Rattus norvegicus: one gene and its partner. The protein of the gene in region 1 purifies or fractionates together with the protein of each later gene. This does not show direct contact. Links are inferred from orthologs where the notes say so. Each region holds a gene or a part of one and is shown on either strand. Other genes may lie near its edges.

Region 1 (4,273 bases):
GCTGTGCCGCTGCAAAGGCATCTCCTGCAAGAAGACCTAATTGAGGACTGCCTGAGGAGCAAGTATTGCTGGTGCGAACAATGCCAGCCAATCAGGAACTGCTGCTTAGAAGAGATGCTTTCTTGGGACCAATGGAGGCGTGGGTGGAGGATATTAAAGGAGCTTGTAGCGGTGCTCTGATGAGCTTGCTGCATTTCTCACCTGCTCCTGGAGTCTGTGTTGTTGACTCTTTGCCAACTCACTGCCAAGCCCCACGGGCAGGTAGGGTCAGGCAGAGAGCTGTCCAGGGCACAGGCAACACTTCATGTCAGGACTCTGAAGGTGGTGAACTCGGGAGTGGGCAGGGGGTCATTGGACCTTTTTGTCCCTCTTCCCGATGTGGCTACATCGAATAAGCCTCCTTTCTCTACCTCTTCGTTATTGCGTATCTTTTTAATTGCCATATCGAGGATACATGCTTGAGCCTAGCTTGTTAGAGCTGCTGGCTCCAAGATCTCACCCTAACAACACCAGTACAAAATATCAGCCTCTTCCTACAGGGCAACTAGGGTTTGTCTGGTCATCTGTGAGAGCCTAAACTTCTCCACGAAGACAATTTAAAAGGTATTTAAATGCATGTCACAAATTACAGTCAGTATATGTAAACCTCCGATCGATCTACTTTTAGATCTGCTTCTGTCAGTCTAGTTTTAAAGCAACGCAGCTGAAATATCCAGTATTTCTGCTGCTGCTTTGTGGCCTGCCATTGAACCCTAAAAAATTTTTTTCCTTGACCTTTTGAGAAACGGCAAAAACAATGGCAGTCGCAGCTCTCGCCCGGGCTCTCCCTCCGCGCAGCCGCAGGACGCAGGCAGGCAGGACGCGGAAGTAAGCGCGCGCTTTCAGGGTTGTTTTACTCTGAGAGTCGATCTTTAAGTTGACTTGTTAGACTCCTTTTCTGTTGCAGCAAGACTTAAAAAAGAAAATATATATATCAGTCAAATGGTCATAAACTAAATTTCTTGCAAATGTGCCTTAAAACCTTTCAAAATCTCGGTACTAAATACACCTCGGTGACTAGTGCCAGGATGACAAGGCATTAGAACCTCCGGAATAGAACGCGCGATTCATTCATTCTTTTGACAATTGAGATACCAGACTTTTGACAGACAGCTGAGTGGATATCGCGCCTGGAACGTTTGTTCTTGGTGCTGGGGAGATCAAAAAATGACAAGAATAAATGGGACTAAGAGACTAAAACGAGAGCTCAAACGTTATTTCGCTCTTCCGTGGTCGAGCCCACCTCACGGATTCTAAATTGTCTTTTTCCAGGCTTCCGCCAGGGGGATGGACTACAACTCCCATGATACTCGTGCGCCGCTCCTTAATAGAGGCTTCGCTTCTCTCCCTGGCCGCGCAGGGGACGACTACAGTTCCCAGAATGCTCTGCTCTCCCGCTTGGGTGTTTTTGCCCCTCTCTTGGCGTTGAACGCGGTAGTGGCCATCCGGAGTGCCAGGCCTAGGGTTCTCGGTGTCCTTCCCCGGGTCACGGGCGAGGAGGCGACTTGACTTCTGGGCGCCGAGCCCGGGCGCGCGCGCAAGCGGCTGCCGTCCCCGCTGCAGGTTCGCGTCCCGCTTTGCTCCTTGCGCAGCTCGGCTCGCGGCCGCCGGGACGGCCCGGGACTGACGGCCCCGGGACAGGGGTGACCGTCGCGGCTGCGGGAGCAGAGGCGAAGCTGAGGCCCGGGAAGAGGCGACAGCGGCGAGAGCACCCGGGGAGAGGAGGAGGTGAGAAGATGGCGTCGGAGATGGAGCCCGAGGTGCAGGCCATCGACCGCAGTTTGCTGGAATGTTCTGCCGAGGAGATCGCAGGGGTGAGTGCGGGAGCCCGGGAGGAGTACGTCCGGCCCTCGCAGGCCGCGCCCCAGGGGAGGAACAGAGTCCTGGAAATCCGGGAGCCCGCCACTGACTTCGGGTAACAGCCGCGCTGGCCATGTCCTGTGGGGAAAGGACCCAGGAGGCCATCGAGCCTGCTCTGCGCCTTCGGTACTCAGATCCTCCTTATACCCGGCGACTCTACTACAGTGCTTTCATTATCCCTAATTACCTTTCACCCTCCATTAAGTCGACAACACTTGGGCCTTTGCCCTATATGCTAGCTGCTGGAAGATGGGAGGAAGCAAGCCTCTTCCTAACGTTGTGGTATAAGCGCCCTACTTATCTTCTGATTCCTTTTCTTGGGATAAGCGGAGCAGTGTCCGCGCCGAAGCTTTCTACCCTCACCCAGCTCCAACTTTGTTGCTGGGACTGCTGGGGAAGGGGGTTGGAGGGTACCCAGGCTGCAAACAGCACAGTCCGACATTCCTCCCTCCGTGCTTTTTTTAAAAAAGTTGTTTTGCACTTGTTTATCTCGTTAGATGGCAACGTTGGTTGCCTGTGTGTACTAGTGGTGTCTCGACATGGAGGGTGGGAGATTTTTTTTTTTTTAAACTACCCAATTTTTCTAGGAGTTGGGAAAAGTTGGACGAAGAACAAACATTATATAACTTTGAGAAAGCAGCTTTGGATAACAGATGCAAACTCATTAGGGATGATAGCGTTGATCCCAGCCTATCAGGAGCCCTTAGGCCCTCAACCTAAGCCCTTCAGAACATAGAAAGGACTTAAAATGTATTATGAACAGCGCTGATACAAGTAGCAAAGTTACGAAGACAACAACTTCAACAAACTCAGTGTCAGTCTTTTGCCAGTGAGGGCAGGGGACACCTATCAGAACGGATTGTCCACAGCGACTGGAAATAGCTCAGACAATTGGAGCCTAGACTCAGAGGCCTCCAGCTGAAAAAGCTCCCAGGAAATGGGTGACTGTTCAACACATCGTCACACGGGATGTTAGGGTCAGTAAGTTGGGATGTGCAGCTGGTGACGAATCTTTGGAGTGAGCTGATGAGACTTAGATAAGTGTAGGTGGAAGTGAAGGGGAGGGGTGTGGGGGTAATTTTTTTAAAAAAATACATTGTTGCCTGATGAATTTAAGTTTTGAAATTTTTTTGGTAAGGCTAAGTAAGGTAGGCGTGCAGTCTGTTTTCCTGTACTCAGAAGGATTTTACCCCCCATCTGCCTTTGACTTATGAAAGACATCTGGAAGAGATAAAAAAAAGCCCTGTTATAAGAAAACAGGAAAATAAGACTAAGTGACTTGCTATCTTATTCTAACTGTCAAATCTGCTCGTGTCGGAGGCAGGGGGATTTTGTTTTCCTCCTGACCCCTTAGCTTGTTGCATCAGTTGCTGATGGTGACAGCAGCTGTGTTACCCCCATTCTGACAGTGGTGAGGTATCTTCGGTTTGATCCTGAGGAAGCCCAGCGCCGGAGGCTGTTACTCCCAGCTCGCTGAAAATTTCAAGCATATGGAATGGGGGAAAATAAGGGAAATGCAACAAAACCTTTATTTATTTTTTTTAATTTATAATTATGTGTATTTGTGTATGTCTGTGTCGGGGTATGTACATATTCCAGGTCCCCTGGAACTGCAGTGACAGACGCTAGCATGGATGCTGCTTTGAGAGTGGTCTCTCCAGGCCCAAGCAGAACTTCCGTTAACTTGTGCTGACTCTGAGTTTGAGGAGATCACCATCTGAGCTCTCTTTACTTTTAAGCGCTGTTCTATATAGATTTATGAAATTAAACTTGAGGAGATGTAGTCTGAAGGCCTTCAAATAGGGCAGGTGCACACTAGGATCGATGCTGTTATGTCTGGAGGAGTCTACTGGGTGCATTTAGTCAGGATGCCAAACTCTTTGGTTCTTTTTTTTTTTTTTTTTTTTTTTTTTTTTTTTTTTTTTCGGAGCTGGGGATCGAACCCAGGGCCTTGCGCTTCTTAGGCAAGCGCTCTACCGCTGAGCTAAATCCCCAACCCCAAGGATGCCAAACTCTTAACATTGTTCTTTCCGCTTAGGCCCCAGCCTGACCCTTGACCACAACTGAAAATTTTAGTCAGGTGTGGTGGTTCATACTTTTAATTCCATTGCTGCTCAGGTAGAGGTAGGCGCATGTCAGTTTGAGGCTAGCCTGTTCTACGTGGAGTTCCAGGCCAGCCAGGGCTATTTTAAAAAAAAAAAAAATCTTATTTTCAAAAAGTAAATTTTAGAAAAGATGTTGTAGAAAACGTATTTATTGCAGAATTTAGACCAATTTAGAAAATAGATAATTTTCTAAGACCAAGTAATTCCATTTTGACTTAGTAAGTAGCGATGCCTTTTGTGTCATTTGGCTTTCTGTGTGTCCCAGGCTA
Region 2 (4,148 bases), on another chromosome or scaffold:
ACCTGGAGTGACCGTAAAACCATACCATAGCTAGGTACAGTATCAAACTCCCACAATCCCAGCTACTCCTGAGGGCCTAAAGCAAGAGGATCACTGCAGCCCAGTTCAAAATCACCCCGATCAACACTGTAACACCTTGTCTCAAGGGAAAGAAACCAAATTAAACTTAACAGCAAGGAGCAGACCAATTTTATATAAATGTCCCAGACTCAATAAAATGTTTCAGGAGCTGGGTATACAGCTTAGTGATAGGAGCACAATAAGCACAGGAGGCCTATGGTTCTCAAAAAAGTGCCCCCTACCCCAACAAGTGAGCTTCGGATCCACCTCAGCCTCTTTCCTTGGTGCTTATATACTTACTTTTCCTAAGCAGTCGCTATTTCAACTCACCCAAATATAACTGCGTTCCACTGCATGATGTTGTTTTCAGATGGTGCACCACTGACCCCCACAGGTGGGTCCTCTTGCAATCTAGAAATCCAGAGTAGTCATTTTCAGAGTTGAACATAAAGGTCAGTGAGGTCAAATTCTACTGAACCTATTCTGAGAGACTGACTAGACTGACTTATTGTTGGAGCTGAAATGAGCTATGACTTAAAAGAATCAACCAGGTTAATATACTTACTAATACTACCAGTGATCTCTAAGCCCAAAGGACTAGGTGGTCATCCTTCTTCACACAGCAAGATTTAAGATATGATCTCTTGAAGAACTCTTGTTTCCAGACTGCCCTCTTGACCCATTACAAGTTTACAATTTTAGCAATGAAAAATATTTTAGAGAATCTGCAACTACCAGGTGGTAGTGGTGTGCATGCCTTTAGACCCAGCACTTTGGAGGCAGCCTGGTCTACAGAATGAATTCCAAAACAGTCAGGGCTACACAGAAAAACCCTGTCTCAAAAAACCAAAACCAAACACCAAAAACCAAAACCAAACCACACAAAAGCCTACAGTTTTTCTACCTTCATCATGCAAGGATCTCCAGTCCTAACACAAAATCGTAGGAAATCTCCATACACTAAATAACTGAAAAGCATATTCAGTTTAACTAGAAAGCGAACCACACTTTATGGTCTGTGCTTCAGACAGTGGCTTTCTCAAGTAGCCAGAAGCTCCAGCTAGCTTTCCAGCAGTCTCTCTTTTAAAGACACTGCTCTCAGGCCAACTCTACCTTAGGCCTTCATACAAAGTTTCATACAGCACTTTCAACAGACGTCATCATCAATTTCATGTAACCTCAAGATCCTTGGAAAACCACCAAAGGCACCTTGTACTCAATCGGGTACAGAAATTGCAAAAATGAACAAGAGATAATAATGGATGATGTATTAGCCATAATGGCAAGGTTTATTTGCATGCTACAGAGCCAATCAAATATAGTGACTTCAAGCCTTTTGCACCAACAAGGGCATCTCATCTGTCAGATCATAAAAAAAAAAAAAAAAAAGCCTTCCACCATACAAAGTATGTCATGATTTTTAAGTGGACACTTAGCGATCAGTCCACATTAAAAAACAAACAAACAAACAAACAAACAAAAAACCTCAAGCAGATTATGCCACTAACAGGGCTGAGAGGAACGAACTTACTGCCTGATTCCTCAATTTTAAGTGGCTAAAATCAGCAACGAATTAAATGAAGCTGTCCAAGGCCCAAGACCTCCAAATGCCCCAGACAGGGCTTTATAAAGGCAAAGTCGAGCAGTTGCTTCCTGAGAGGCAAATCTAAGTTTTTATAGTACAGATCTGTCTCAATCACAGCGGGTCTGCCCAGAAAGAAAACTTAGAGGAGTATCTTGTCGCTGGATTTCAAGTTACGGTTGCTGCACTTGTACGTTTCCAAGGAGAGGTAAACAACTGGAAGAGGAAGGAGAGGTCATTTTCTTCCTTCAAGCCCCTTATTTCCTATAAACTCCTATTTTCCAAAAGGAGGCCCAGGTGGAGTATCAGATTAGCTCCAGTGTGACGGAAGGCATTTCCCAGGCCGGGGAGGCTATAGATAGGCCTTTATTCGGCAGCCAGATCTTAGTTCCAGAAGGCACTGGCAGCGGAGTGGCTAGCTCCAGGTCCAGGTTTCCCGAGCCAGTTCTCAAGGTCCTTCCAGGTGGGCGGGGGCAGATCGGGTTTCGGGGGATGGGCTAACCACCTCCGGACCTCGCGCAGCAGACCCCACCCTCACCACTGCAGAAAGGGAAAGAGATTTGGGACAGTATTCACCCCAACCCCGCTACAAATAGGAGACCACGGGGCCCTGTAACAAAGCTGGACTGGTCCTCCAGGCGAGGCCAGAACCTCAGGAAAAGCTCCCTAGCACCACCTGCGGAGGGGACACCGCAGGGTGCAGAGGCGGGAGGTGAAGCGTCTGCATTTGGCCTAGGTGGGCCTCTGGGACACCTAGGCCCAGCGATGGCTACCTTCCTACTTTTGGGGGGGGGGGGAGGGCAGGTGGCTATAATACCGAACATCTTTACTCAAACAGAGGGAGGTATGAAGCGAGGGAGTAAGAGTCGCCGGTGAGCCGGGGCTGCCGTGGGTCCCGCAGGCCCACTGCCCCCCTCCTCAGGGTCACCGGGGGAGGATATCCCGGATCCCCGCCCTACAGTCCATAGCTTCGGGAAGAGGCCGTCATATTGGGCTAAGACGAGGGCCCTTACCGCTTGAAATCCCGCATGAGCCTCCTACGGGCCGGGGTCGACATGCTCCGCAGCTGCCCCGCGGTCAGTCTGAAAGAAAAGAGTCCCGTTCGGCCCCCCCACCCCCCGGCGCAGCGGCCGAATCACTGTGGGTCGCCGCCGCCACCGAGACTGCACAAACAACCCTGCAATGACGTCTCCCTCCGCCGCCTCCAGATCCCTCCGCCCTCCGCCAGTACCACCGCTGGGAGGAGGGGAGAGGGGGCGGGGCGAGCGGGCGCGCGCGCGACCCTGGAGGCGCAGGAGGCCGTCTTCGGGGCTTCTTGGCTGTGAGGAACTATGGAAGGTCCTCTCCGTGCCCAGGCTGGACACGGGCCGGCCCGACCGCGCCGGAGCCCACACGCTACCTTGCCTCGCTCCCCCCGTCGCTAGTTTCAAGTTCGGCCGGACGGGGAGAGAGGTGCATCCGGAGCCTGAGATTTCGGGGAGAGGAGGTGGGATGACGTCAGGTCACGTGACCGCTAGCGGCGTTGTCAACAATCCACCCCTGAGGGGGAGGGAGCGAAGTATCTAGAACCACGTGTGCCTGTGACGCCATCAGAACAAGTCACGTGACGGCCTAGCCTGGCTCTTGGTTTCAGGTCTCACAAAGCAGGTCCTTGAGTTTAAGGAGTTGACACCTCTAGTCATACATTATTCTTTTGGTCCCAAGTACTGGGACTTTGCATAAGGAGACATTGTGGAAGAAGCCACTTGGCGTTCTGAGTCTTTAAAACGGAACAAAAAAATCTGGACTTAATTCTGTTTCAAGTGGCTTAGCAACTCTGGCACGTGGGACAGGTACTGAAAGTGTGGCAAAGCCTTGTAATGAACAGCTTTGAATACTATGGTCCGTGCAAATCAGATGGGATTAAGGGCATTTGGATCAATTATAGCCTGTATGGGATTTCCATACTTAAAGTCTATACAGAAATGAGAGTGGAATAGATTGTCCAAGCCTTAAAGACTCCATCTATGGAGTCTTAGAATTGGAATCTGTGATTTTGCCTGCGGTGGGGAACAATTGTATTTCTCAAGAAACGAGTGGGTGTGATTTTTAGGGCATATCAATGGGCTGCTGGTTGTCAAAGAAACCTACCAAAATGATTCAGATCGGGGGAGAGATCATGCAGACATGGGTGGGAGTTATATCTCGAGTCTGAGGTAACTTAGTACAAGCTTTGTACAATAGCAAAGAGGGGCCAAACGGACCGGAAGTGCTCTGTGTGTGTGTGTGTGTGGGGTGATTCTCAGCAGGTTCAGTAGCCTTCACACACACACACACACACACACACACACACACACACACACACCGCCCCGCAAGCTCCTGGAATTCCCAATCTCAGCTTCTAGCACTGATGTTAGTTCTAGGGACCCGAACGGTGGAGTAGATGCGGAATTCTTTAGCTCTAGAAGGGAAAAGAGCATGAGAATCTACTGCTCCACTCCTTCCTATATACATAGTTCCTTGAAAC

What was found.
Region 2: the proteins of Ubr2 (region 1) and Ube2b purify together in Homo sapiens (affinity purification with western blotting; 3 studies listed by BioGRID, with this or other methods). This does not show direct contact. The link is inferred for Rattus norvegicus from reciprocal best matches to the Homo sapiens genes UBR2 and UBE2B.

What each region holds. Positions count from the first base shown.
Region 1 is NC_086027.1:21,478,644-21,482,916, forward strand, and holds the start of Ubr2 (E3 ubiquitin-protein ligase UBR2), read left to right. Parts: upstream 1-1,473; 5' UTR 1,474-1,775; coding exon 1,776-1,853; intron 1,854-4,273. UniProt on the Homo sapiens protein: E3 ubiquitin-protein ligase which is a component of the N-end rule pathway.
Region 2 is NC_086028.1:36,761,144-36,765,291, forward strand, and holds the start of Ube2b (ubiquitin-conjugating enzyme E2 B), read right to left. Parts: upstream 2,801-4,148; 5' UTR 2,725-2,800; coding exon of another isoform or gene 2,700-2,724; coding exon 2,656-2,699; exon of another isoform or gene 472-2,655; coding exon 391-471; exon of another isoform or gene 1-390. UniProt on the Homo sapiens protein: E2 ubiquitin-conjugating enzyme that accepts ubiquitin from the ubiquitin-activating enzyme E1 and transfers it to a E3 ubiquitin-protein ligase. In vitro catalyzes 'Lys-11'-, as well as 'Lys-48'- and 'Lys-63'-linked polyubiquitination.